Elephas maximus indicus: one gene and its partners. The protein of the gene in region 1 binds, or shares a complex with, the protein of each later gene. Links are inferred from orthologs where the notes say so. Each region holds a gene or a part of one and is shown in the gene's direction. Other genes may lie near its edges. The genes, in order: B9D1, TMEM107, TMEM231 and TCTN1.

The links.
Region 2: B9D1 (region 1) and TMEM107 share a complex: the UniProt entries of both Homo sapiens proteins name them as parts of the tectonic-like complex. The link is inferred for Elephas maximus indicus from reciprocal best matches to the Homo sapiens genes B9D1 and TMEM107.
Region 3: B9D1 (region 1) and TMEM231 share a complex: the UniProt entries of both Homo sapiens proteins name them as parts of the tectonic-like complex. The link is inferred for Elephas maximus indicus from reciprocal best matches to the Homo sapiens genes B9D1 and TMEM231.
Region 4: B9D1 (region 1) and TCTN1 share a complex: the UniProt entries of both Homo sapiens proteins name them as parts of the tectonic-like complex. The link is inferred for Elephas maximus indicus from reciprocal best matches to the Homo sapiens genes B9D1 and TCTN1.

What each region holds. Positions count from the first base shown.
Region 1 is NC_064820.1:213,491,974-213,499,635, forward strand, and holds the start of B9D1 (B9 domain-containing protein 1), read left to right. Parts: upstream 1-4,659; 5' UTR 4,660-4,720; coding exon 4,721-4,783; intron 4,784-6,212; coding exon 6,213-6,281; intron 6,282-7,662. UniProt on the Homo sapiens protein: Component of the tectonic-like complex, a complex localized at the transition zone of primary cilia and acting as a barrier that prevents diffusion of transmembrane proteins between the cilia and plasma membranes.
Region 2 is NC_064837.1:12,589,131-12,596,687, forward strand, and holds TMEM107 (transmembrane protein 107), read left to right. Parts: upstream 1-4,717; 5' UTR 4,718-4,850; coding exon 4,851-4,937; intron 4,938-5,125; coding exon 5,126-5,193; intron 5,194-5,295; coding exon 5,296-5,396; intron 5,397-6,111; coding exon 6,112-6,208; intron 6,209-6,393; coding exon 6,394-6,463; 3' UTR 6,464-7,039; downstream 7,040-7,557. UniProt on the Homo sapiens protein: Plays a role in cilia formation and embryonic patterning. Requires for normal Sonic hedgehog (Shh) signaling in the neural tube and acts in combination with GLI2 and GLI3 to pattern ventral and intermediate neuronal cell types.
Region 3 is NC_064839.1:41,214,528-41,222,042, reverse strand, and holds the start of TMEM231 (transmembrane protein 231), read left to right. Parts: upstream 1-4,515; 5' UTR 4,516-4,608; coding exon 4,609-4,747; intron 4,748-4,833; coding exon 4,834-5,003; intron 5,004-7,515. UniProt on the Homo sapiens protein: Transmembrane component of the tectonic-like complex, a complex localized at the transition zone of primary cilia and acting as a barrier that prevents diffusion of transmembrane proteins between the cilia and plasma membranes.
Region 4 is NC_064840.1:9,153,111-9,160,116, forward strand, and holds the start of TCTN1 (tectonic-1), read left to right. Parts: upstream 1-4,004; 5' UTR 4,005-4,112; intron 4,113-4,501; 5' UTR 4,502-4,887; coding exon 4,888-5,197; intron 5,198-7,006. UniProt on the Homo sapiens protein: Component of the tectonic-like complex, a complex localized at the transition zone of primary cilia and acting as a barrier that prevents diffusion of transmembrane proteins between the cilia and plasma membranes.

The sequences.
Region 1 (7,662 bases):
GGTGTATAGAAACCTAACTGATTTTTGTGTGTTGACCTTGTACCCTGCAACTTTGCTAAATATCTCTATTAGCTCTGGAAGTTTTCTTGTGGACTCTTTGGGATTTTCTATATATAGGATCATATCATTCGTGAATAGAGATAATTTTACTTCTTCTTGTCTAATTTAGATACGTTTTATTTCTTTTTCTTATTGCTCTGGCTAGGACTTCTAATACAATACTGAATAGAAGTGGTGAGAGCGGGCACCCTTGTCTCATTCCCAATTTCAAGAGGAAAGCTCTCAGTCTTTCTCCATTGAGTATAATATTGCCTCTTGGCTTTTCATATATGCCCTGAATCATATTGAGGAATTTTCTTTCTATTCCAATCTTTAGAATTGTCATGAAGAAAGGCTGTTGGATTTTATCAAATGTTTTTTTGCATCCATAGAGACGGTCATGTGGTTCTTTTCCTTTGTTCTATTGAAATGGTATACTATGTTGACTGATTCTCTAATGCTGAACCATCCCTGCATTCCTGGAATAAACCCCACTTGGTCACAGTGTATGACTCTTAATATGTTCTTGGATTCTGTTTGCTAGTATTTTGTTGAGGATTTTTGCATGTATATTCGTAAGAGATATTAGTCTGTAGTGTTCTTTTCTTGTGGTGTCTTTGGTTTGGGTATCAGGGTTATGTTTGCTTCATAGAATGAATTGGGGAGCATTCCTTCCTTTTCTATCTTTTGGAAGAGTTTAAAAAGCAGTAGTGTGAATTCTTCTCTAAATGTTTGGTAGAATTCCACAGTGAAGCCATCTGGTCCGGAACTTTTTTTCGGGGGTGGGGGGAGGTTTTTGATCACTGATTCAGTCTCTTCATTTGTATGAGTCTGTTGAGGCTTTCTATTTCCTCTTGAGTCAGTTGGGGAAGGTTGTGTGCATCTAAGAATTTGTCCATCTCATCCAGGTTATCCAGTTTGTTGCCATACAGTTGTTCATAATATTCAGTCATAATTCTCTTTATTTCTATCAGGTCAGTTGTAATGTCCTCTCTCTCATTTTTTTATTTTGGTTATTTGCATCTTTTCTTTGTCTGTCTAGCTAAAAGATTGTCAATTTTATTGATGTTTTCAAAGAAACATCTTCTGGTTTTATTGATTGTCTCTGTTGTTTTTCTGTTTTTTTATTTCTGGTCTTTATCATTTCCGTTCTTCTGGTAGGTTTAGGCTTAGCGTGCTCTTCTGTTTCTAGTTCCTGAGCTTGTCTAGTTATGCTGTTAATTTGAAAACATTTTTCTTTTTTTATGTAGACATTTACTGATACAAGTTTCCCTCTGAGTACTGTCTTTGCTGCAACTCCTAAGTTTTGATATGTTGTGCTTTCATTTTCATTTGATTCTAAGAAATTTGTGACTTCTCTTTTGATTTCTTCCTTGACCCATTGGTACTTTAACAGTGTGTTGTTTAATTTCCATATGTTTGTGTTTTTTCCAGGGTTTTTCCTGTTGTTGATTTCTGGTTTCACTCTGTTATGGTCAGAGAAAATATGATTTCAGAGAAAGTATGATTTCAATTCTTTAAAATATATCCAGACTTGCTTTATAATCTAAAATGTGGTTTATCCTGGAGAATGATCCATGTGCACTGGAGTAGAGTGTATATTGTGCTGTTTTAGGGTGGAATTTTCTACATATGTTTATTAAGTCTGGTTTGTTTATAGCGTCATTCAGAAAGGACAAATGGTTTTTAAATATCTACAGTGTTTTTCAGCAATACAAGCTGGACTCCAAATGCATTCCCATCATCTTCATGGGAGATTGTTGCTACCACTGACTAAAACCTGGTAGGCAGGGGCCTTATAATCCCCATTTCCTCAGAAGCTGAGACTTAGATAAATTAGATCCTCAGCCCAAGGTCACACAGCTTGTGAGGGGCAGTCTGGATTGGAGCCGAGGGCTGTCTGACTCACTTCTCTACAGCTCCCTTGGCCAGTTTACCCCTGGAAGAAGCCTCTGCATGCATTTCCTCCCTTGAATTTCATGGGCAAAGGGGAAAGGTACAGCCCCTGAGGCAGGATTCAGAGAGCCAGAGATTCCCCCAGACCTTCCCAGGCCTAGGCCCAACTTAACAGGAGAATGAGGTCATCCAGGCATCACCCTCCTCTTATTATGACTACATGGAGGCCTAGAGTAGGGCAGTGACTTAGTAAGCTGGGGACAGGCTGGGGATAGTAACCCCTGAAGCCTGCCTTGGGTTCTACCCTGGACCCCAGACCACCTACCATGGACCCCGTTATTCCGTTGTGCTGCTGGATGCTGAGGTTCCCGAGCTTTCTCTGGCTCCTGGCCTCCCTGCTGGGCCCAAGGATTTTAGTCTGATTTTGGTGAGGATGAGAGAGGAAGCATGGGATGGTTGGGGGCCAGAGGATACTGGCCTGGGGAGGTGTACAGACAGGGTGGTGCTGGGGGCTGCAGAGGAGGGTGGCACTGACCTCCTGCTCTGCTGAGTCAGCTTCCAGCCTGGATGTCTGACACCTACCAGGCAACAGCTTGTCCCCCAAACTCCCTGCCCCAGGGTGCTCAAGATCGCATGAGCTTGAGGAGATTGTGAGGCAGGAGTCCAGTGGAGGGCAGGGTTGTGCTGGGTGACGTAGAAGAGGAAAGTCGAGGAGTAGAAGCCAGGAGGCACATCCTGGGGCAGGGAGACCAGGGCAGGAGCTATGTGCCCACTGGTGGAGAAGCATCTCAATCCATTAACCACCAGTACAGCCATATTGGGCACATCGGCTGAGGGCCCCCATCCCCACACAGACCCGTATGCCCCACCCCTAGAGCTGCACAGTGTGCTGCTGAGGCCACTGTCCCCCAGCAACTGCAAAGACACTTTTCGCCTCCAGCCTGACTGTCCCACCCTGGATGTCAGCCTACTTGAGGGCTCTCAGTGCACCAGGCCCCAGCTGGTCCACCTGAACTTGTGGTAACGACTCCAGCTGAGCCCTGAACAAACCCCTAAGATCCCTTAACACTCCCTCCAGTTCCTCCTAAAGAGAGTAGACTCCACATTACCCTGGGATCTCCCATTCACCAACACCCAGGGAGCTGGGCTTCTCTGCACCTCTGGTGGCCACCCCAGAGGCCCCTGTCCCTTGGGGGAAGTCCCCCTTTTGTGTCCTATTCAAATGTGAAGTAGGCTTTGGCATGGCCAGGTTTTAAAGCACAGAAGCCCCCTGGTTATTTGATCATCTCAAGCATTTAGCTGCAAACTAACTTTGGCACAGTCCTGAGTCTCAAAGGTCACAGAAGGGAAGGAGTTGGGCAAGACTGGTAAAATTTGTCAGAGAAAGCATATTAACAAGGAAGAGACAGGGTGTGACATGGGGTGGGGTGGTGTGCGGCCAAGTGCCCAGGAACTGAACAGCTCCTACTTGTGCAGCCCCCACCTGTTGCAGCTCCCAGCCTCTATCACATGAATAAACCCTGGTTACCCACAGCCCCCTCTCCCCAATCAGGTATCTTTGTTTACCTGGGGTCAGGGCTTCAGCTGGTTGGGCTGTAACCTATCCTTCCCTCTCCTCCACCAGTGACTGACAGGAGCCCCCTTGTGTGCTCCTAAGCTGGCAGCTGGCTGTTGAGCAGGGTGGTGACCTGGCAGCCCACTCAGGGTCTGGCTTCCCAAAGTCTACACTCCTGTGCATCCTTTCATTTCCTGGATTTGGGAGGTCTCTAATGCCACTTCAGATGCTGAGCCAAGAAGTGACCCAGGACAAGGCAGAGGGGGCGGTGAGGGTCTCTAGTCTGTGGAGCTGTGAGTTTGCGTCCTGGCTCAGCCACCTAAAACCAAAAAGCAAACCTGTTGCTGTCGAGTTGATTCTGACTCATGGTGACCCTAAAGGACAGAGTAGGACTGCCCCATAAAGTTTCCAAGGAATGCCTGATGAATTTGAACTGCCAACCTTATGGTTAGCTCTTAACCACGACGCCACCAGGGCCTCCACTGCTGTGATTTTGCCCAAGTCACCTTCCTTCTCTGAATCTGTTTCCTACTCTGTAAAATGGGGACATATTCAATTATTCATTCATTTAGCAAGTATTTATTGTGTGCTTGCTATGTGTCAGGCAATGGGGATACCAGACTGACAGTCTCCATATTCATGCAGCTGGCAGTCTAGAGGGGGAGATAAGCATTGGCCCAAATTATGAGTCTCAATAAACGTACAAACAGAAACCATGGTTAACGGCAAGAGGACGAGAGAGGCCTAAGAGGAACTGTCATTTGAGCAGAGCCTCACAGGTCGGAGATTCTGCTCTAGTCCCAGGCACTGCCCCTCTGTGGGCCTCAGTTTCCCTAGTTTCAGAAGTGGTGGCTTAGTTTGTTTAATAAACATTTTTGGGAGGAGAGTTTAAAAACACAAGCGGGTACCACCTTAGCCCGATGTGGGGCGCTGCCTGGCCTCAGCTCGGTAACGTCCCTCCAGAGCCCAGGTAGCCGACCCTGTCCTAGGCACCTGGCCCCCGCCTCGCACTGATAGGCGGCGACACCGTAGTCCCAGCACATTGAGCCCCACGGTACCCTCCTCGACTCTCCCGGCAGCGTCCGCTAACTGCGCCTGCGCAATACCACGCACGCGCACTAGTGAAGAAATATGTCCCGCGCGCCACGCCGTCTGTTTCCAAGGTAACCTCAGCGCCTCTTAGCAACCGCGCTGCAACCAGGGTCGGCTCCCGGTGCCCCCCGCGCTGCCATGGCGGCGCCGGGTCCCAGCGTCTTCCTACTCATGGTCAACGGGCAGGTGGAGAGCGCCCAGGTGAGCGACCGGGACCCTCCCCAGCCTCCCCCGGGGATACGCCCCTCGGCCCCTCCGGCTGCGTTGCGGTCCAGCGAGGCCTGTCGTTCCTCGGAGCTTCTGTCTCCCTTGGTGAGGCGGGGGAGGAAAACCGGCGTGTGAGGGGCTCGGCGCAACGATGCTAGGCGTTCCTAATGCGCAGCGTGGAAATTGAGGCTTGCAGAGGCTGAGCTCGTGCCAGGGGGACGCTTGGTCAAGCCTCTGACCCCTGGCCTTGTTGAATCACGGGCAGGAGCTTCACGGGGCGTCACTGGGGCAACTGGGCCGGCGCACAGGCCTCCTCCGCCCGTGACCGAGTCGGGGCGTCTGTGAGCCTCAGATCATGGAACTCAGACTGGAGTGGGGATGATTTGGGTAACCCTAGCCAACGACGGTGGTGGTGGCCAGGAATCATCCAGGGAGGTGTGTCTGTCATACCAAAGGGACGCTACTCCCCACCTCCCAACACTTTATAAAAACGTTAATAATCATAATAAAAGCCAATGTGTGTCAGGTATTCACTCTGCACCAGACGTGGCCCTTAGCCCTTCCCATTCATTCAGCACAACAACACTGTGAGATGGGTGTTATTAACATCCCTGTGTTACAAGTGACAGAGCTGGGGTTTGAATCCAGGTCTGTCTGACTTCAAAGCTTTGCTACACCTTAGCAGTGACCTTATGGGGTATTGGAAATGGTGTTTATATGTGAAGATTAAATGAGATGTTTTAGGTAAAGTTGTGCCCAGGGCCTGATACTTACTAGGTGTTTCCTACCTTCAGTTTCCTCATGGATGCTTCTGCCCCATGCACCCATCCTGCCACCTCCCCCTTGGTCTAGCACCTGATGCTGTCTTCTGCCTTTCTCCTGTTCTATCCCATCAGGGGCTCTCAGCAGGGCTGGGTCTTTCCTCATGACATGTGTCCTGATGGCTTCCTGGTTCTCAGACCTTTCACTTCGGCGTTATCCCCTTAGACCTTCTCTGTGCCCACCCTGTGCTTCCTATGCACAATCTAATGGGTTGGCAAACAGACAGGCAATCAGTGCTTTGATGGAGGAAAGCCCAGGTGCTGAAGGAACCTGGACAAGAGGGCAGGCTTTCAGGAGGGTAAGTTTTGAAGGATGAGCAGCAGTTTTCCAGATGAAGGAGTGGGAAGAGCATATCAGACAGAAAGCAGAGCCTGAGCAAAGGCCCAGGGGCTGTAGCAGCTGGGAACCCTCCTCTGGACTCCCACAGTTCAGTCCTCAGCCCTCTCTGCTGAACGCCATATCCATGTGTCCAACTGGCTCTTGGGCCCTGGCCCAGGTGCCTCATGTTCAGAAGTCCTTTTGGCTGCACCTGCCTAGCCGACATGTTGGTGGGCCTCAACATGAGTCCCAGTAAACAGAATTCACGTGTGCTTTTTTCCAGTTTCCAGAGTATGACGACCTCTACTGCAAGTACTGTTTCGTGTACGGGCAGGACTGGGCTCCCACGGCGGTAAGCTGAACTCTTGGGCCTCCCTCGCTGACAGCATTCGTGATTATTGGGGTTTCTGAAGGTGTCCATTATACCCCTTCCCCTCCCAGCTCAGAACCAAGTTAGAGGGAGACAGAGTTTGGAAACAAACGTGAGTTTGTTTTTGATAAAGCTGGAGTTGGAGAACACAGCCACAATTGGGCTACCAAATAAACCCCCACCGCCAGACTATTCTCACTCAGGTACCCTGTCCTGTGAGCTTATGTGTGGCAGCAGGTGGCAAAGAGGAACACAGGTGCAATGCAGCAGGCAGGCTCCAGAGTGCCAACTTGGAAGGGATGAGCTGTAGATACTTTGGGCCAGTCCCTCGTCATTTGGCCTCTCCTTAGACCATGGGGAGGACTTTGGAGAGTCACAAGACAGAACAGGATCTCTCACTTCCTAGGCTTCCTAGAGAACAGTCTCTCCACCAGGAGAGGGATTATAGTGATGTCTTCAGTTTGCACATACTTTACTCTTTGCACAGCACTTGTTTATACCTCACAGCAGTTAGGGAAATGGAAGCCCAGCTTAGATAACTTTTCTGAGTCTCCCATTTCCTCATCTGTACAACTAAGATGACAGTACTTTTTTTCCATTCACTTATTTATCGAATAAATATTGAGAGTCTTCTGGGAAACCCTGGTGGCATAGTGGTTAAGTGCTACAGCTGCTAACCAAAAAGTTGGCAGTTCAGATCCACCAGGCACTCCTTGGAAACTCTATGGGGCAGTTCTCTTTCATATAGAGTCACTATGAATTGAATTGACTCAACGGCAATGGGTTTGGTTTTTTTTTTTTGTTTGTTTTCTGGGTGCTAAGGATACAGAGGTGAACAAAACCAGACAAAAGTCCCTGTCTTCCTGGAGTACACATTCTTGTGTAGGTAGACAGAAAATAATAAATAGTAAATATTCTAGTTTGTTAGTAATAAGTTCTGTAGGGAAAACAAAGTCAGAAATGGGGGGAGGGTATGAAGGCAAAGAGGGAGGTTGATATCATGGAATTACCTTGAGTCGGAATTGATTTGACAGTGACTGGTTTGGGTTTAGGAATCTAGACATGGTGGTCAGGGAAGGCCTCACTGAGAAGGTAGCTTTTGAATAAACACCTGAAGGAAGTGAGGGAACAAGCCATGTGGAAATCTATGGAAAGAACCATCCAGGCAGAGGGAGCAAAAAGTGCAAAGAAAGGCTCTCTCTGTGGCAGGAGAGCCTTTTGAGGAGCAGTAAAGAGGCCAGAAGGAGTCCTGGTGGCACAATGGTTAAGTGCTTGCCTGTGAACTGAAAGATTGGTGGTTTGAACCCACCCAGTGGCTCTGTGGTAGAAGAGACCTGGAGATCTGCTCCTGTAAAGACTGCAG
Region 2 (7,557 bases), on another chromosome or scaffold:
GGCGCGCCTCAGGAGCTGGGCTATCCGCCCATACTTAGGGCACCGGGATTCGAGGAAGAACCACTGCGAGATCGTTGTGTTCCTCCGACGGTGCGGCCTTGGAACTTTGTGCCAGAAACCCTGCCCTCTCGGCCCCTACGAGGTGCTTCTTCCCTGACCTGCACGCTCGAGCTTGAACATAGTTGAAAACGAGAAAAATTAAGTGATGAAGCTAAGAAAAAGCGACTGACCCCGACGTGACTTGAACACGCAACCTTCTGATCTGGAGTCAGACGCGCTACCGTTGCGCCACGAGGTCGGCGGGAGAGAAAGTTGCCAGCCCTCCTTATGGTCACTGATCCGCCAGGCGGTTAACGTGCTGGCAACCTAGACACGAGAGCCGAGGACCTTCTTTCCTTTGTCAAAACACGCAAAGTGGTGCCTGCGTTCTCCCGCCCATTCCGCTGGGTGAGCAGAGGCAGGCGGCACTGACAGGGCAGTGGTTTTACAGGCTCCAGGCTCAGCGGTCCCTCCGACCCCGACTCTGGCTGGAGTCCTGCAGACAACCAAGAGGGCCTGAGCTGGTCACCACAGGCCAGCTGGGATGGACCTGCCCAGAAACGGATGGAAGGACAGATACCAGGCAGAGTGTGACGGAGCCATTCCAGAGCCTGAAGAAGTGAGAGATTAGCTCCTCCATCAGTGCACCTTCTCCCCGGCTGCAAATTACAATCTCCTGCGGAGCGTTAAAAAATAGCCACGCACAAGCCCCAGGCTTGGAGACTCTGATTTAAATGGTCCAGGGTAGATATTTTTGTATAATTTACATACAATGAAATGCAGTTTGATGAATTTTGACAAAATCATACACCTGCGCAACCCACAACTCTTCAAGATACAGGATGGTTTCATCGCCCCAGAAAGTTCTCTCCTATCCCTTCCCAATCCACCCCCGCTTCCCAGAGGCGATCATTGTTCTAATTTCTATCACCATGAATGTCAGTATTTTTTTTAAATTGTACTTTAAATGAAAGTTCACAGAACAAACTAGCTTCTCATTAAAAGTTAGTACACGTATTGTTTTATGACATTGGTTAACAACACCAGGACACGTCAACATTCTCCGTTCTCGACCTTGGGTTCCCTATTACCAGCTTTCCTGTCCCCTCCTGCCTTCTAGATCTTGCCCCTGGGCTGGTGTGCCCCTTTTAGTCTCGTTTTGAAACTTCAGTATTTTTTTAAAGCTCCACTAGGGAGACGGAGGAGTCCCTGGGTGGTGCAAACGGTTAACATACTCGGCTGATAACCAAAAGGTTGGAGGTTCAACTCTACTTTTTGAAAAATCAGCCGTTGAAAACCCTACAGAGCACAGTTCTCCTCTGAGACACTTGGGGTCACCACCAGTCAGAAGACAGCAACTGGGTAGCTAGACAGAGCTGGGACTTCTGCAGAGGAACAGCCGGAACTGGAAGAAATTCCGACTGTGTCTTGAAGGATGAGAGGTGTTCAACAGGCTTACATGTGAGAGAAGGTCATACAGTATCTCGCTCCTTGCCCTCCAAGCCAAATTTTTGCACATTGTGCACAGTGGCCCTACCGAAAGTTTTAAGGGACCACAGAAATGTCAAAGCCCACAGATGTTCCTCTCGCCTGGCCTTACTGGACTCAGGACAACATCTCCTCTAAGAATCTTCTTCTCCCTTGGTTGTCAGGACACTTGTCTGCTGGCCGTCCCTTAACCCGCTCCTCCCCCAGCCCCACCTCACTCATCCCTCTTTTTCTGTCCTCACCTTAAATCCTCATTTTCCAGTTCTGTCTTCTTTCCTCAAGCCATGCATGCTCCCTGGCTTCAGCTATCTCTGTGTGCTGAGGGCTCCTGGATCCCACTCCCTCTCCATACCACCCCACTTCTAGATTCAGACACCTCTACTTGACCCTGTCATCCTTTCCCAGTCCTTCTGCACGCTCAGTGAGTGGCAAAGCTGAAGCTGGGACTCAACCTTGACTCTTTCCTTTCCCGCAATTCCCATTTCCAATAAGCCACCAAGCCCTGCCAATTTCCTTAATAATTCTCCTGTCAGTCCTCATTCTCCTTTCCCATTGACAAGCCCCAGCTTCTTTTGACCCATTATTGTAATAGACTCCTCTCTGTTCTCCTTGCCTCCAGAATAGTCAAGAGAATCATCTTTGTAAAATTCAAACATGATTCCCTCACTCCTTAGCTTAAAATCAGTGCCACATCACCTTTTGGATGAAGGTTGGCCCACAAGGTCAAGTAATATAGTGGTTAAGTATGTGGGCTCTGGAACCAGGTTGCTAGGATTTATATACGAGCTTTGCTACTTACTAGCTGTGTAATTTGGGCTACTTATGGAACCTCCCTGTGCCTCAGGGCCTACATCTGTAAATCGGTAATTGTTATGGATTGAATTGTATCCCCCCAAAATGTGTGTCAACTTGGCTAGGCCATGATTCCCAGTATTGTGTGACTGTCCACCATTTTGTGATCCGATGTGAATTTCCTATGTGTTGTAAATCCTACCTCTATGATGTTAATAAGGCAGGATTAGAGGCAGTTATGTTAATGAGGCAGGACTCAATCTACAAGATTAGGTTGTGTCTTGAGTCAATGTCTTTTGAGATATAAAAGAGGGAAGCAAGGATGGGGACAGGTGGGGAGGGCGACCTCATACCACCAAGAAAGCAGAGCTGAATCCTTTGGACCTGAGGTTCCTGTGCTGAGAAGCTCCTAGGCCAGGGAAAGGCTGATGACAAGGACCTTCTCCCAGAACTAACAGAAAGAGACTTCTAGAGCTGGCACTAGCCACATGGGGCTATCCCAATAAATTTTTTAAAAAAATTTCAGTTTCTCAGTCCCACTATCCACATTTCAAGTGTTCAATAGCCAGATGAAGCTAGCTGGCTACCATATTAGACATAGACAATATGGAATATTTCCATCATCAGAGAAAGTTCTATTGGATAGTGCTGGTCCAGAGGTTGAAGCCTGGTGTACTGTATTGCCATCATGGTTATTTTTTTCATTTTTAAATTGAAGACCAACATTTAGAATTGAAATAAGAAGCTGGATTTCTGGTCTCTCAGAAAAAACAAACAAGCAAGGAATCTGGCAACATTGGACTCAGTTTCCCTTAAGACAACTGATTGAAGCTGAGTAGCTGCTGATCTACTACCCCTCCTCCCACAAGCCCCTACACACATTTCGGAATGGCAGTGGCTCTCCTGGGCTTTGACCTCAAGGGAACTTCATTTATTTGTTGTATTCGTTTTGTTCTAGTAGGAGAGACATAATAAATGAGTATAGTAATAAATCAAATGATTACAAATTATAGTCAGGACTGATGAGAGGTAAGAGTCTGGTGGCTAAAAGCTCAGATTTTTAAGTCAGACTGGGGTTTGCTTAACAGCACTGGGTATGGTTTGGTTTTGGTGCTGTCATCAGTTACAGGCTCTGTGACCTCAGGCAGGTAAATACACTGCTCTGTGCCTCGGTTTTCTATCTGCCTCATAGATGTTGTTGTCAAGTGCTGTTGAGTCAGCTCTGACTCATAGTGATCCTATCTACAACAGAATGAGATGTCGTTCAGTCCTGTGCCATCCTCACAGTATTAGATATGTTTAAGCCCATTGTGTCAATCCATGTCCCTGAAGATCTTCCTCTTTTTTGCTGACCCTCCACTTTACCAAGTATGATGTTCTTTTCCAGGGATTGGTCACGCCTGATAACATGCCCAAAGTAAGCAAGACAAAGTCTCGCCATCCTTGCTTCTAAGGAGCATTCTGGCTGTACTTCTTCCAAGACAGATTTGTTTGTCCTTCCGTCAGTCCATGGTATATTCAATGAGCAGTTCTACTCTGTCCTATATGGTTGCTATGCGTTGGAATCATTGGGGTTGGTTTTTGGCTATAGTGTGTACATATGTATTTTTTTTTAACGGAAGGATAAACCAAAAACTAATAAAATGGTTTACCTGAGATGGAGGGTGGAGGGTACACGAATGGAGGCCTGACTTCTCTCAATGTACTTTTTTTTTTGGTAGATTTCACTATGCAACCACATAAATGTTTAACATAATTACAGAACAAAATTAAAATCAAAATTTACAAAGCAATCCATATAAACTTAGAATTATTTTGTCGATATCTACAAAATAGCTTGTTGTTGGAAGGTGTGTTGGTTTAAACTTTGTATTTTAAAATGATTTATAGAAAAACTGCAAAAGTACTACAAGGAATTCTCATGTGTTTTATTTTTTTCACCCAGACATTGTTTTATCTTTGTCTATCTATCTGTACATACACGCCAGTGTCCCAAACCCGGCGTGGCAGTGGCAGCGGTCTCCAGTGGTGGGTCATCCGGCGCACCGTAGCCGGGGCTGGGGGCTAGGTCGTTCCCTGTGTGAGCATCTGGGGACGAGGGGCTGTCCCCGGGCTAGAGCAGGCCGGGTTTCTGCTCGCCCGCCCGGCCGGGTAGATTCGGCGGTGCCAGGCCACGCCACACGGCACAGTCTCAGGGGCAGACGGCTCTGCTGCCATCGAGGAGCTGCCAGTCAACTCAGTTCCGACTCGCGACCACCTGCAGCGGATCTCGGACCCACGCTGCCCTGGAAGCCCCTGGCGGCTCGAGAATTTACTGCTCTCGCGAGATTTCTAGAGAACGTGGCCCAGCGCCTATTTACGCAGTTGCCAAGGCAACTGGGCGGTGCCAGCGCGGGAGGGGAGGAGGAATACGAGTTTCTCCGCGCTGGTGGGCGCGGGCGGGCGGTGCGGGGACCTCAGGACCCACTGAGAGCTTCCAGCTTCAGAGACCACGGCCTTTGCTCTGGCCAGTGCCCCTGCCCCCGGGGGCCATGGGCCGGGTCTCCGGATTCGTGCCCTCTCGCTTCCTGACGCTCCTGGCACATCTGGTTATCGTCATCACTTTATTCTGGTCCCGGGTAAGACCTACGGCCGCCCGCTTGTCACCCCTAGCCCCACCTAGGATAGTCCCAGTCCTACCCCGCCCCTTCCCTAGGACTTTCTGACATCGGCCCTTTCGGGGGTTCCCCCATCCCCCGCCGCCTCACGCCGGACCCGCAGCCGGCCCCTTTTTCACACTTTTGTTCCTCTCTGCCCGGCTCCCCAGGACAGCAACATCCAGGCCTGCCTGCCTCTCACATTCACCCCCGAGGAGTACGAGAAGCAGGATGTTCAGTGAGCTCTTTGTGCGGGATGGTCAGAATGAAGCGGTGGTCGGAGTGGAGGGGTCTTAGAAAAAAGCCTCAAGGGCTGAGCCAGCACCCTTCCTCTTTACAGGCTGGTGGCAGCTCTCTCTGTCACCCTGGGCCTCTTTGCAGTGGAGTTGGCCGGTTTCTTCTCAGGAGTTTCCATGTTCAACAGCACCCAGAGCCTCATCTGTATCCTTTCCACCTGCACACCTTTCCCACACGGCCCATTTCCAGCCGCCTGACTAGGCTTTTCTGGCGCAATAGTGTTTGTCCTAAGGCACAGACAAAATCTTTCCAGTTGGGAGATCTTCTTAGACAGACAGTATGAGGGATTTAATACAGTCTTCATTAATGTGTTAAGTCCCTGCTATACACCAGACACTGGAGATCCAGAAAGGGGGGTAAAACATCTCTACCTTGAAGGTAATGCAATACAACCAGCACTACACTGTAGGATTGTGGAAGGGTATAAAGCAATATGGGGACTCAGAGAAGACAAAGGAAGTGAGGGACATGGATCAGGAGAGCGGCTTGACACCTGAATTGTGGGCCAGGAGTCCCAGGGAGGTGGAGGGGGATTCCAGCTAACAGCATCAGGCTGCTGTGAGCATGCCTGTGTGGCCTGGGGGTAGGTGGGGAACCTGCTCTTACCTCACCTGGAGGGTTCAGGCTGCCCCCTAATGATTGGGTGGGAGTAGCCTGGGATCCCAGGTGTGCAGCCTCACCTCTGGCTTCTACTCAGAAGGCTGTTCTACAACTCAGAAGGCTTCAGGCTCTGATCTTGCAGTGTGGTGAGGCAGCTAGAGATTAACCTGAGCACAGGTGCCAGCCCCACCACGGGCTTTTTCTGGCCCATCACTACCTGCCATCCCAAGGCTTTCCTTGACTCTAGGGTGTGCCCAAGCCATCGGGGCACACTGTAGTGCATCCGTGGCCCTATCCTTCTTCATATTTGAGCGTTGGGAGTGCACCACGTACTGGTACATTTTTGTCTTCTGCAGGTAAGGTATTTGGGAATGGGAGAGGAAGGTTTACCTCAAATCTGAAGGTGTCCTCCATGTGTGAGATGCCAGATCCACTCAACATCCTGAAATATTCCCCACTGCATGCTGGCGGTGGGGTCTCTGGTTTGGGGATTTGGGTATTTTTATTAAGGGTCCTTGAATCCACCACCTACCTCCCACAGCGCCCTCCCAGCGGTCACTGAAATGGCATTATTCGTCACCGTCTTTGGACTGAAAAAGAAACCTTTGTGATCACCTTAATGACGGGAATGGAGGGGCAAAGGCTGGAGCAACAGGAGCAGGAAGGCATAGACTTCCGTCCTCGCCCTGCACCTGCATCTAGAGGAGGATGTCAGCGTTGGCATGATTATCTTCCGCGTCTAGGATTATTCACGTCTTATGTAGTATTTTGTAATAAAATATATTTTTAATAAGATCAAGACTTGTGTTAAAAATTTCAAACAACATCACCCCTGAGGAATGTACTCCCTTAAAAAAAATCAACCAGATGAGACTATCATTTACCCAAAAGTAAAGGTGAGAATACTGACACATTGTGAACATTGTAACCAATATCACGGAACAATTTGTATAAAAATTGTCAAATGGGGACCTAATTTGCTGTGTAAACTTTCACCTAAAACATAATAAAATATATTTTTAAAAGAGTTATAAAAATTTCAAGGGAGATTTGGGGTGGCCAAGCTACTGAAGAAACGGAAGACTGTTTTCCAGCCTTGCAGACTGTATGATAGTAAAAAAAACCCGGTGCCGTCGAGTCGATTCCTATAGCGACCCTGTAGGACAGAGTGTAACTGCCCCATAGAGTTTCCAAGGAGCGCCTGGCAGTAAGTACCTTTTATTTTGGTTATTACGGTAGACATCTGGCGGAAGGGAGTGGGTGGGGATATGTAAATAAGGGGATGCCACTGTTCCGGCTCAGCAAGTGATTACGCGGAGCATTCTGGGAAGAGTTGATTTATTCTTTTTTCGGAAGCGAATGAAAAAAAGTATATTTAAAAATCCACAAAGAAAGATTGCTACAGAAACGGAGGAGCCTTAAATAACGTTAGGTAGCTTCAGCGAATGAGTTTTACGCTCACCCTAGGTGTAAGCGCAATTTTTTTCATTGAGTGCGGAGTGGGTAAGGTTTTCAGGTTATCGTCAGTAAGGTTAATCCTTACCTGTTTCTCCTTTTGGAGAGCAGATTTAAAATGATGATTTGGAGCTCGCATGATCCGTGATTAACGTTTCCGCGTAATCAGGACCAGCAACATCCTGATTGCTCCTATCTGATTTTACTGGCGATCACTTCTTTCAGTTTTTGTTATGAAAAAAAGTTTTAG
Region 3 (7,515 bases), on another chromosome or scaffold:
TTTTAGTTCTTATATTTTGATCCATTTTTAGTTAATTTTCATATATGGTGTGAAGATGGGTCCAAATTGTTTCTTTCGTTGTCCCAGCATCGTTTGTTGAAGAGACTATTCTTTCCCCTTTGGATGGACTTAGTATGCAGGGACTTTTGATGAAGAATTTGGCATGGATCATGGTAAAAAAAAAAAAAAAAAATCCTTCTGCCAAAATGAAAAATTTTAAAAAGGTTCAAAAAGATCACAACATTAGAAACTTTAGACTTGTTTTCAACTAAATATAAATCTGCCCAAGGCACTGCTATGGCTAAGAGGCTCTACTATGTGTTTGATATAGCAAAGAAAAATACTTGGGGCCAATATAACAAGATGAGACTAAATGAGCACACCAGCCCAGGGGAAAGGACTAGAAGGCAGGAGGGGACAGGAAAAAAGAAGAACAACAACAACAAAAAAATACTTGGACTATTACTGACTTTTTTAAAAGTCAATGGATGGGTGTAAATATTGTTGAATTAGCAAAGTTTTGTTATATATATATGTATATATTTTTTATCACAATAAAAGCAAGTCAGTAGACGGGATCATTCGTTTATATATAAACAAATATATATATATATATTTTTAAGTAGTTTGTCTTGGTTATCTAGTGCTGCTATAAAAGAAATACTACAAGTGGATGGCTTTAACAAAGACAAACTTATTTTCTCACAGTCTGGTAGGCTAGAAGTTCAAATTCAGGTGCCCGCTCCAGGGGAAGGTGTTCTTTCTCTGTTGGCTCTGGAGGAAGATCCTCGTCATCACTCTTCCCCTGGACTAGGAGCTTCTCACCAGGAACCCTGGGTCCAAAAGATGGGCTCTGCTCCCAGTGCTGCTTTCTTGGTGGTATGAGGTCCCCCACTCTCTGCTCACTTCTCTTTCCACTTATCTCTTGTAAGATATAAGGTGATGCAAGCCTAACCCCAGGGAAACTCCCTTTACATTGGATCAGGGATGCAACTGAGTAAGGATGTTACATTCTACTCTAAACCTCTTTAGCATAACACAGTCTTGCCTCATTAACCACAGGCAGAGATTAGCTTTTACAACACACAGGAAAATTACATCAATCATGAAATGGAGGACAACCATACAATACTAGGAATCATGACCTAACCACATTGACACATATTTTGCGGGGGCGCACAATTCAATGCATAACATAAAGATCTAATGGAAAATAAGGACCATGTCTTTTCATCAGAATTAAAAGCTGGAGATCTTTGTAACACCTCTTGAAAGATTAAACCCATTACCACCACCTCCTAGTACCCTCAGGAACTGATTTCTTTTGTCACTTCTCTTCCTTAAAGAGATGAAGTCAAAAAGACAAAATAATAGTTTCATGATTCTCGACACTATTATAAAGCATCTTTGTAAGTTATTTATTCTCAACCCTGACATAATAAACCAATGAAAGAAGTAAAGTAAGTATCTAGTTCAACGTTAGCAAACTACAGCTGATTTAGGAGATAATATTGGAGCTGTTATTACCTGTCTTAGAATGTGACCCAGCTGGAGTAGACTCACAAGGACTCACAAGGACACATTAACTGGTCCCTGAGGTATAAAGATGTTAGAAGACTCTTGGAAAATATCTTTTAGGGAAACTTTCACATAAACGTATCATAAAACAGAACACAGAGGAGTTTTCGTTCTTCTTCTGTTAGCATTTAGTGAATAGAAAATTTGTTGGACCAATGAAGACCCTCCTGACCGTCCTTACTGAAACCTGTGCCAAGGATTGTTAAGAAAGACAATTCAAAATATAGGGTAACAGTTTCTAGCTAATCTGTGAAAAGGTGAAGCTTTCAATGGTTTTGCCCGTTTGTAATGTTAATATATACTGATGACTCTAATATTCTCGGGACCTGGCAGACATTGCTCTAGAAGCAAGCTCGTCCATTTTCCCATTCTTGCCTATTCTGTAATATTTCCCTGGACTCGGGCAGACATGGCTGTGGCAGCATGTTTGTCTTTTTTCCCGCTTTTGCTTATTCTGTAATATTTCCTTGGACTCGGGCAGACAGCATGCTTGTCCGTTTCCCACTTTTGTCTCTTTGAACATATGCCGAATAAAACTTTCTTTTTGCTTTACTAAACTTTGTGATGTTTTTACCCTAGAACACGGCTCACAGACAAAATCTGGCCTGGTGCCTGTTTTTGTATAGCCCACAAGCTTAAGAATTTAAAAAAACATTTAAATGATTTAAAAAAATTAGTAACATTTTGTGACACATGAAAATTATATGAAATTTACATTTCAATGTTCATAAATATATTGGAACATGGCCACGCATTTGTTTACATATTGTCTATGACTGCTTTCACGCTACAATCACATAGTTGAGCAGTTGCACCTGAGACTGTAGACACGCAAAGCTTAAAATATTTTCTAGTTGGCCCTTTACAGAAAATGTTTGCCAAACTCTGATCTAGATAATCAACCACAAAACTCACCTTGGTCTCATTCCCCTGATTAAAAAGAAGAGTATTATTTATTTTCGGTTTTGTTTTCACTTTGACCGTTGTCTTTGTTCTCCACCTCACAGGATGTGTGCATGTAAACTTTAAATGTTTCATCAATCCTTCTTGTGAACTGTTATTTACAATAAACAAAAATAATTTTTAAAAATCCTTCTGCCATGTCCAAAACACTGGTTAGAAAAAAAAAAAATTCATTTAAGGAGTAAACCAATGGCTAGCAAAGCTTGTAACCAATATTTAAAAAGAGGTAGCAAAGTACACCAGAGAGCACGGTTTTTAATTCTCCCGGAACCCAGATTTCTAGGGTGCATGTAAGACAGGGAGCAAAGGCCCTGAGATCAGAGCGTGCCTGTTTGAAAAATAGCAAAGAGACTGGTGTGGTTAGAGGCGAAACAAGTAAAAGAAATAGACTATACGATAAGGGAGGTAATAGGAGGTTAAGTGTGGAACCCAGAGACTTAGCAAGAAGACAAGGAACAGAGGGGCCCCCAAATCTGCAAACAAAGTAACAGGAAATAGGCCAGGGCACAGAAACAAAAGCTATTCCCTAGAACAGTGGGGCAGGGTATTTTAAAATAGCCCACAAACTTCTTTAAAGTTGCCTTTCAGAAGCAGCTGGAGAAAACCAAGCCCAGAGACTTGAGCAGAACATGCACCTGTGACCACTGTGTGACCTTCCACCAGGGACAGTGAGGAGCTACAGCCTAGCTGGGAAATCGAACCCAGGGAATGAGAGAGACTGTGCAGGTGTGACACCCCATAATAAGTCCTGCTACAATCCCAGAGGCCTCCTGGACAGGAGCCATCTTGGAAAGCTACTGCACGTGCACCTTAGTTAATATATATCCGCCTGTGCCTATGAATAAACATGAATCTTTTCCCACCGAAGAACTTTTTAAAAACTCGGGCCTGTCCTTTGTTCTGTAAGAGGAGGGTCAGCATTGCCCTAGGCCCTCCTCATCTCTCTTTGCAGGCCTCTTCAATAAAGCTTTGCTCCTGTGGAAAACTACGTGCCTTACCTGCTCATTCTTGACCAGTGAGAGGCAGGAACCTTATTCTGGTAACACATGGAGTTGGGGTGACCACACCCATGCCATTGCTCTGATGTGATCTTTTGAATCTTCAGCCTTGAACAAACTGGTCTCCTAGAAGTCACCTTTAAGCCAAATAGTCTTGCCAATTAGTAAAGACCATTTTGCCTTGGAGGTTGAGCTCTTTTGAGAGTTCAGTTTCCATAAATAGAAGCTCCAAGGTGGATCTGGAAGCTGTGTTTTAGGGTAAATTGTTATTATGAAAACACTGTTCTGGTCATTTCCATGACAGTGTCCATAAGATGGGATATAACTATCTTTGGAAGTTCTGTTCTCGTTGGAAACAGTTTGACTATCAGAAGTGTTGCCTGATTTACAAATCATATTATATTAAATAAAACCATTAAAAAATGGTTTTGGGTTTATATTAAATAAACTTGAAATCAATTTCTATTATTGGCTTAATATGATCTTTGTTTTAACATAATAATTATCCTTTATTCCTCGAAGAGTGTGGGATTTCTGTCTTTCTGTTTCTGTGTCTGGCTGTTGAGTGGAAGGCACGGAAAATTTGGAGACAAAAGAACGTGGCTTTGGTCTTAACCCAGGACCAGATCCAGGACCGCAGCCACATTTACGTCCTGTGCGTTTTCCTCCAACGCAAAGTGTGCTCTGAGTGGTTGCACTTTAGTATAAACCACATTGGGGCTTAAACAGATGGCTCATAACGAAGTATTTTTTGTCATCCTTTATGAAAATGCTATTTTACACAAATGTTAACACAGACGGTTAATTAAAATTTTGGTACATGGAAACATCCTATTTCCACTCAGCCTTAGAAAGAACGCCACAGTTAAAGCGAAGTCGACCATCCACCAAAAGCACCGCCTGCCGTTAGCCCCACCCCTAACAGATCACTGCCTCCTTGCTATTGGTTCGTTTCACCCCTCGGTTGCCATGGAGACCAAGAATATGGCAACCGGGAGAAGCCAAACTTATTCCTCCCTTTCGAATCTCCGCGAGGTCGCAGCGTGCTGCGGACCCCCGCACGTCGTTCATGGCGCTCTACGAGCTCTTCTCTCACCCTGCCGAGCGCAGCTACCGCGCTGGGCTCTGCTCCAAGGCCGCGCTGTTTCTGCTGCTGGCCGCCGCACTCACATACGTCCCCCCGCTGCTAGTGGCCTTTCGGAGCCACGGTAAGCCAGCCCCCAAGCGCTGCGCAACACGGCTCCCCGCGCCTGGGCAAGCCGCCCTGACCTCCTCTCCGCCCTCTTTACCTCAGGGTTTTGGCTAAAGCGGAGCAGCTACGAAGAGCAGCCGACCGTGCGCTTCCAGCACCAGGTACTGCTTGTGGCCTTGCTGGGACCGGAGCGCGGCGGGTTCCTTGCCTGGAGCACGTTCCCCGCCTTCAACCGGCTGCAGGGGGACCACCTGCGCGTCCCGCTCGTTTCGGTGCGTGTTTTCCGCCCCTGCCCTGCGGCCCACCCCGAGTGGGCGGGAGGTGAGGGTAGGGGCGACGGGGGACGAGCAACCCCTGGCCGAGGAGAGCCCAGCTTGGGTCTTAAGGGTCCGCGAATACTTGTTTACACAGGCTCGTGGGCCTGAGCTTACGTTTAATTTCCAGGCGAGTAGATAGATAATGTTTCGTTTTGATTCTCCAGGAGGTCCACGACCGCTGGAAAAGTTTGTCATTGCTTTCAGGGAACTTTGGGGCCAGAAGCCTGCCAACAGTCTGTCTCTAGATCTCCTTACTTCTGTGGACCTGGCCTGATGGAGGGGTGGCCGTGACAGTGCCTTTGTATTAATGACCCCATCCTGTCGCTGTAATTGCACATCGTAACACCGTAGCCGCAGAAAGATCAGGTATTTGCCCAGGCGCTGATTGGTTAAGCGACCATCCCAGCGAGTGCTGCTGGCTAAGTCACACCTTCCTAGGCTGCACCATCCAGCACTATCTGCACGAAAAGAAGCATTTACTGTCTGTAAAGTAGTACAAAGGTGCCTTGGTTGCGCAGTGGTTAGAGCGCTCAGCTGCCCGCCAGAAGGTCAGTGTTTGGAATCCACCAGCGCTCCGCAGAAGATGCTGGCAGTCTGCTTCCATAAAGAGTTACATTCAGCCTCGGAAACCCCATGGGGGCAGTTCCACTCACCAAACAGGTTGCCTTGAGTCAGAATCAACGGGATGGCAATGTAACACAGGTAGTCCCGGACTTAGAATGGGGTTCCATTCCTATGAAGTCAGTTCTGACATAAGTCGAATACTTAATTTTTTTCCCAATTATTATTGCCTTTTATTATCTGTATCTTTATAAATCTGATCTTTATTTATCTTTTGGGATTGGCATGAGAATGATAACATCGGCAAATTACGCTACTGCAGCATTGTATGTAGTACGTTTACTAATGGGTGAGATATACGAAAAAAAGAAAGAAAGAAAAGGATGGTAAGTGTGGTTCCTCCTAGCTGGAATACATTGTAAACTGGGGAGTACCTGTATTTGGTTCAGAATAAGTGAGCGCTTCCTTTGCAGTCAACCCTTTCCACTCATCTTCTGAGAACATCTTCCTTTAGATGTGTGAAACTTCTGGTCTTCCCTTTTCGAAAGCTGAATCTCTGGACACCTCTGAAATAAGAGCCTAGGAGCTATAAAAAAAAAAAAAAATACTTGTTTTAATTTGCTGACAAAAAAAAATTCAGACTTTTTTCCAGCAATTCAATAAGATGAAATTAAAGAAAAAAGTCTTGTCATATGAATAACTATAAACAAAATATAGTTCTGTTTGTCTTTTTTTGTGGTTACTTTATAAATTTTTCTCACATTTTCTTCTGATTTCAAAAATGCTTGCCCATTGTAAAATATTATAAAGGAGTTACAGGTATAACCTGACAGAAAATGAAAGGCTCAGTTTGGTATGTGTATCAGTACTTGTTGATCAACCTTATTCCTTTTAAGTTCTGCAAATTATTTCGTTATATGGAAAAACTATAATGTATTTAGCCAGTTCCCTGTTGATGGATATTTGATTTGCTTGCAATTTTTCACTGTAAGAGTCAGTACTGCAAAGAACAAGATTTAGAATACCTCTTACATCTTTAAATGCCAAATCGTGAGGAATTGGAATAGAAGCTGTTTGTTGAAATTGAGAAAAGTACATAGAAAATTAAATAAGCAAATACAATAATTATTAACTTCGGGGAAATAAAAAGTAAGAAAAGTGAGGAAGGGAAAAGTAATTAGAGTTATGAACAGTGTTCTACCAGAAAAACCAACGAAACCCATTCTTCTCAAAGAGACCCTGTAGGACAGAGTAGAGCTGCCCCACAGGGTTTCCAAGGCTGTAATCTTTCAGAAGCAGACTGCCACATCTTTGTCCTGCAGAGCAGCTGGTGGGTTTAAACTGCCAACCTTTTGCTTTACAGCTGAGCACTTAACCACCATGCCACCAGGGCTCCTGAACAGGGTTTACAGCATCATAATTATATTGACTAACCAAAATAACAGTTTAACTGAGAAAGGTATGGGTATGTGGTGGGGCTGGTAGAAGTGGGATAGGGGAACGAAAAAGCTAAGTCTTTACCTTTCCTTGTGGAAAGTCAATAGAGAATGCCTAAAACTGAGAAATGGAGAAGTACTAATGGCAAATGTTATTTATAGACATGGAGATGTGTTTCTAAATAATCAGATAAATGAGATCAAAGATTTGCCTTTGGTGGGATAGGTGGAAGTCTGCTTTTTTAAAATTGTTTTTAAAAATAAGACTGGATTAGGAGAAATTTCTTTGAATAGCTCCTCATAATCATGACATATTGCCGGTTTTTATTATTTGAGATTATAATACCTCTGGAGAAGCGTGACCGTGGATGAGGGGTCAGTGTCGAGATAGACTTACTTTTCACTGTATACCTACTGTATTTCTTGCTTTCCATGTGCATGTATTTCTTTCCCAAAAGTGGAAACATTTT
Region 4 (7,006 bases), on another chromosome or scaffold:
GCACTCAAACACAACTGCGGAAGAGCTGCCTCCTCAAAGCAGAGTCAACCTTAATGACATGGATGGAGTAAAACTTTCGGGATCTTCATTTGCTGAGGTGGGACGGCTCAAAATGAGAAGAAACAGCTGCAAACATCCATTAATAATCGGAACATGAAATGTATGAAGTATGAATCTAGGAAAACTGGAAGTCGTAAAAAATGAAATGGAATGCATAAAGATTGATATTTAGGCATTAGTGAGCTAAAATGAACTGTTATTGGCCTTCCTGAATCTGCCAATCATGTTGTAGTCTACTACGCCAGGAGTGACAGATTGAACAGGATTGGCGTTACATTCATCGTCAAAAAGCATTTCAAGATCTACCCTGAAGGACAACACTGTCAGTGATAAGATAATATCCATACACCTACAAGGACGACCATTTAATATGACTATTATCCAAATTCATGCACCAATTACTAAGGCCAAAGATTTTTTTACCAACTTCTGCAGTCTGAAATTGATCAAACATGCAATCAAGATGCATTGATAATTACTGGTGATTGGAATGAGAAGGCTGGAAACAAAGAGGAAGGACAAGTAGTTGGAAAATATAGCCTTGGTGACAGATGATGCTGGAATTGTATGAAAGAATTTTGCAAGACGAACGACTTCTTCACTGCAAATATCTTTTTTCAGCAACATAAATAGGGACTATACATGTGGACATTGCCAGACGGGATAAGCAGGAATCAAATCGACTACATTTGTGGAAAAATGTCAGAAAAAGGCCAGGGGCTGACTGTGGAACTGACTATCAATTGTTCATATGCAAGTTCAAGCTGAAGCTGAAGAAAATCAAAACAAGTCCACAAGAGCCAAAATATGACCTTGAGTATATCCCACCTGAATTTAGAAACCATCTCAAGGACAGATTTCACACATTGAACATTAACGACCAAACGAATTGTGGGATGACATCAAGGATATCATACATGAAGAAAGCACAAGGTCATTAAAAAGACAGGAAAGAAAGAAAAGACCAAAATAGATGTCAGAAGAGACTCTGAAACTTGCTCTTGAACGTAAAGCAGCTAAAGCAAGTGGAAGAAAGATGAAGTAAAAGAGCCGAACAGAAGATTTCAAAGGGCAGCTCTAGAAGACCAAGTATTATAATGAAACGTGCAAAGACCTGGAATTAGAACACCAAAAGGAAGAACATGCTCAGTATTTCTCAGGCTGAAAGAACTGAAGAAAAAATTTTAAGCCCCAAGTTGCAATATTGAAGGATTCTATGGGCAAAATATTGAACAGTGCAGGAAGCATCAAAAGAAGATGGAAGGAATACACAGAGTCACTGTACCAAAAAGAATTGGTTGACATTAAACCATTTCAGGAGGTAGCATACGATCAAGAACTGATGGTATTGAAGGAAGAAGTCCAAGCTGCACTAAAGGCATTGGCGAAAAACAAGCCTCCAGGAATTGATGGCATACCAATTGAGATGTTTCAACAAACGGATGCAGCACTGGAAGTGCTCACTCACCTATGCCAAGAAATTTGGAAGACAGCTACCTGGCCAACTGACTGGAAGAGATCCATATCTGTGCTCATTCCAAAGAAAACTAATTCAACAGGATCTAGAAATTATTGAACAATATCATTAATATCACACACAAGTAAAATTTTGCTGAAGATAATTTAAAAATGGTTGCAACAGTACATCAACAGAGAACTGCCAGAAAGTCAAGAAGAGGATGTGGAACAAGAATATAATTACTGATGTCAGATGGATCTTGGCTGAAAGCAGAGAATACCAGAAAGTTGTTTACCTGTGTTTTATTGACTATGCAAAGGCATTTGACTATGTAGATCACAACAAATTATGCATAACATTTGGAAGAATGGAAATTCTAGAACACTTAATTGTGCTCATGAGGAATGTGCACACAGACCAAGAGGCAGTTGTTCAAACTACACGGTTTAAAAACATGAAAGGTATGCGTCAGGGTAGTCTTCTTTCACCATACTTATTCAATCTGTATGCTGAGCAATTAATCTGAGAATCTGGACTATATGAAGAAGACTCATTAACAACCTGCAATATGCAGGTGACACAACCTTGCCTGCAGACAGCGAAGAGGACTTGAAGCACTTACTGATGAAGATCAAAGACCACAGCCTTCAGTATGAATTATACCTCAACATAAAGAAAACAAAAAATCATCATAACTGGACCAATAAGCAACATCATAATAAATGGAGAAAAGACTGAAGTTGTCAAGGATTTCATTTTACTTGGATCCACAAAGTGCTCATGGAAGAAGCAGTCAAGAAATCAAACGAAGTATTGCATTGGGCAAATCTGCTGCAAAAGACCTCTTTAAAGTGTTAAAAAGCAAAGATGTCACCTTGAGAACTAAGGTGCACCTGACTCAAGCCATGATATTTTCAATCGCCTCATATGCAAGCAAAAGCTGGATAATGAATAACGAAGACCAAAGAAGAATTGGTGCCTCTGAATTACAGTGTTGGTGAAGAGTACTGAATGTACTATGGAATGCAGAAGAATGAACAAATCCATCCTGGAAGAAGTACAGTCAGAATGCTCCTTAGAAGCAAGGATGGCAAGACTTTGTCTCATGTACTTTGGACATGGTATCAGAAGGGACCAGTTCCTGGAGAAGGACATGGTGCTTGGTAGAGGGTCAGTGAAAGAGAGGAAGACCCTCAACGAGCTGGACTGACACAGTGGCTACAACAATTGGCTCAAGCATAGCAATGACTGTGAGGACGACGCAGGACCAGGCAGTGTTTGCTTCTCTTGTACATAGTGTAGCTATGAGTTGGAACCGACTCGACAGCATCTAACAACAACAATCTTTATGGGAGCAGATCACCAGAGCTTCCTCCTGCGGAGCCGCTGGCTGGGTTTGAACCATCAATCTTTCAGTTAGCAGCTGAGTACTTAACCGTAGCACCCTGGCCACCAGGGTTTCTATTATACTTATTAGCAGGAAAAAAATGATACCTAATTTTAAACAGATTAGAAGCCATGACTGTAGCAATAATAATAATAACAACAACCACCAGCTCACCTCAGAAGACACCAAAGAATATGAGGAGTGGTTAACACTGCCTTGTGCCTTGCAAAAAAAGCCTTAACCCCCCCCACCCCCCACCCCCAGGTACTCCTGTGTCTTAGCTTTTTCAGGCTCCTCATATGCAACATTTTCCAAGCACAAAATTCCAAAGCTGAAATGTCTTTAGTCCTTCTAAGGCTGGCACAGACTCTAAGGAATTGAGAATGCCAATAACCCTAGAGAAACAGATGGACATTTTATATCACAAACATTTATGAATAACCCAGACACTGCAGTGTTGGAAAAATAGGGAACAGATGTTAACTTCTCTTTGTGTCCTTCCATCCAAATGAGGTAACCTGCTAAGGCCAGGGCGGAAGGAAGGGAGAAAGGATCCTCTGGGATGAAAGATGAAAAAAGCCTGGCTCAAGAGGGTATCACCTGACAGAAACAGGTCACTTGTGAAATGAAAGATCCAGTTTTCCTAAGATTTGCAAAGTGTATCTGAGTTGATGTAACCCTTATTTCGACTTGGTAAGATGTCATAAAACGACTTTTTGGTTATGTACTGACTGAGATTGGACAAGAAGGTATGATGAGATTATTTCCCAAATTGTGTCCTAGTTGGAATCATAGGATGTTAGACTTGAAGAGGAACTCACAGGTCATATAATCATGAAGATAAAAAAAAAAAGAAGTTAAAGCCAAAGAGCACTTCATCAAAGTCTAATGCAACAACAGCCTAAAATTTCAAAACAGAAAACAGGACAAAGTGATTCACAGATGTTAAGCAATAAAAAAGAGAGTGAAATCCTGGAAATGAGGAGAAGGTTTAAAAAAGAAAAAGTCCTCGATTTAGCAATTATGAGATGGAGGTTTGGAAAAAAAAATTTTTTTTTTGAGGGAAAGTTTCATCAGTTATTAAAAGTGGTTCAGAATTTCAGTCAGATGCCAAAGCAATGCTATGAAGAAAAAGTTGGAACTGTGTGCCACCCATGAGTGATCCAGCTATATTTTTCTACGCTTTCTCCGGAATGCCACAGGAAGGTGCTAAAGATGTTGCTTTGATGATTTAGTTTTGCTATATATATATATTTTTTATTTAATAAACTAGGTATATGTGCTGTTTTGGCATCTTTCTGAATTGGTAAATAAATGTTTCTTGAATAAATACCATGATACGTTTAAGTATTTCGACATCTGCTTCTTAAATGTGAGATTATTTGTCCACGGTATAACTAACCTCCGTGGGTTCGGGTCCCCTCTGTAAATAAACCAGTTTAGGATGAAGGGACTTCCCTCTAAGTCTTGTGGTCTCTTTATCACTTTGTAGGATTACAGTTGATTTGCTTTGTGTTTTAAGACTGAAAATCATTCTATTTAATTTTTGTCAGTTAAAAAAGTCATTAAGTGTTCATTTGTCCCCCTTACCACAGAGCGGTGGACAGAAGTTACTTGGAGACCTCTCGGGATGCGTCTACAACAAAAAAGGGAAAGGCTGGGTCGAGCGCGTTCTGGATGGAGAGAATTCAAGGACGGTGGTGCGACGCCCATACTTCTTCAAAGGACTCGTATTTCGTAGCATCAGGACAAAAAAAAAAGAAAGCGGTTGCCAAAGTTCCGTCCCCTCACCGGTGGCGTCAGGGCACTTGTGAAAAATCCTGATTCCAGGACCCTGCGCGACGCCAACCCAATCAAGGTCTCCTGGTTGGAACCCGGAAATCTGCATAGAAGAGCCGCAGTCGAGCTGGAGAACGACAGCTGGGATTTCCCCGCCCCTCGTTTCCGCCATGTCGCGCGGCTTCGCGCCCTCCTTCCCGTGATGCCCCGCGTTCGGCCACCGCGGTTGCCAGGCAACGCGCTGTCCACCGCAAGGACCGCGCGGGGGTTCTGCAGGGCGATGGGGCCGCGGGGCTTCCAGCCGCTCCTGCTCCTGCTCCTGCTCCTGCTCCTGGGCTGCTGGAGCCCGGTGAGGGCCCAGACGGGGACCACCCCGGCGGTGACAACGGAGGGCCTCAGCTCCACCGAGGCAGCCCTGGCGACTCTCGGAGCCTCCACGCCGTCTGGGCCCCCTGCCACTCCCAGGGCGCGGGGCCCCTCTTCCGGTCCCCGGCCCACCCCGGTCACGGACGGTGGGTACCAAGTGCCAACTCCTGGGCTCCACAGTGATTCAGCCAGGAGAGGGTAATGATAATGATGATAGCTAAAGTTTACTGCACACTCAGTGTGTGCCAGACATTGCCGAGTGTTTCACAGGCGTTATGTAATTTCTGCCAACAACCCTGAGAGGTAGATGATAGGGTCCCCGTTATACAAATGAGGAAACCGAGGCTCGGAGAGCGTAATGGTGCAAAATCAAATATTTTAAAGCACTAGCAGAGCTCTTGGGCAATATTAATGTTAAAGGTAATAAATACTGAATAAAGCGTTGCAGCCTTCCAGCGGCAGATGAAATTTAATCAGAAGTTTCTAGACAGTTGTGGAAATTAAATGGATGGAATGTGTTCGGAGTTTTTAGTTGTATTAAAGAGACTCCAAAGGTCTAGTTTTCTAAATGTCAAGGCCCTCGTCTATCGACTTGAATTCTGAAAACTCTGGATTCCTCTTTAGTTAAGTTTGCCATGGGAAGATATGGGGTGAGGGATTTTGCCCACTTTTTAAGATTAATATGTAGAGCTGATTAACATTTCTCAGAAAGTGTCCCTGGAATCGGACAGTTACATGTTTAGTGAGTATTTTATAATCTGATTTGCCATGGATGACTTAGGGGGTGTCTATGACCCCCTGAGACTGAGTGCAAAATCTTGTGAACACGCATTTTTCTGGGATGAGGGTCCCTAGCAATCAGTAGATCTTCAAAGGAGTTTAGACCTCTAAGTAGATAAATAGCTGGATAGGTTATCTGACTGTGAAGGTTGAAAGAGGTGTGCAGTAGGTTTTATCCCCACTTAAGAAAACAATACTTTTTCTTAAATTGAGTAAGTCTCAGTACTAACTAGAAAAGTCATTATTGGCTGGCATTCTGAACTCTAGGACTTAACTTTAATAACTGAACTGTTATTTCTCCAAGGGGCCTCCCTTATAAATCATGAGTGGTTTGTCTGAAAAAGTATGGTGAAGTATAGTTGTTTAATAGATATGAACAGAATTCTGTTTCATATTTAAACTGTTGATTGGTGAATTAGTAAGGAAGTGAAATCAGTGATAAATTGTGACAGAATACAGCAAAGTATTCAACACCCAAAATTCTCCAAGGTTTTTGGAGCTGGCTTGTCTTTTATCTACGTTAGTCCTCCACCTGTTAATGTGCTTTCTCTCCCAAATGAAGCTATTCTTGAGCCGTCATTATTAGGGCTTGGGTTCAGGGCTCTTTTTGCCATTATAGGGGATTAATTTATACCGATCGTCATCTTTTTAAAGAATACTTTAGGCCTGTGACAGTAATGATAAATGACAGTCATGTATTAACAGCTTGCTATGCGGTGGAGCCCTGGCAGCACAATGGTTAAGTGCTATGGTTGCTAACCAAAAGGTCAGCAGTTCAAATCCACCAGCCACTCCTTGGAAACCCTATGGGGCAGCTCTACTCTGTCCTATAGGGTGGCTATGAGTTGACATCAACTCGACAACAATGGGTTTGGTTTTTGGTTTTGCTATGTGGCAAGCACTGTGGTAAGCATTTCAGCTGTGATATATCTCACTTCACCCTCGTAACAACCCTATGACGTTATCACTATTTTTCAGATAGGCGAAGTACTTGCTTAATTTAAGGCCACATGGCTGGTAAGTGGTGGAGCAGAAAGCTGGCTCCAGTAGAGAACTGGACAGCCATTTGCAAAACTGGTTGCAGCCAGTGTTGGTGGAAGAGAAGAGTGGTAACTGTTCATCTTGAATCTGAGCTCTGCTCATTAGTACCCTACTCTACGATGCAGGCATGTAGA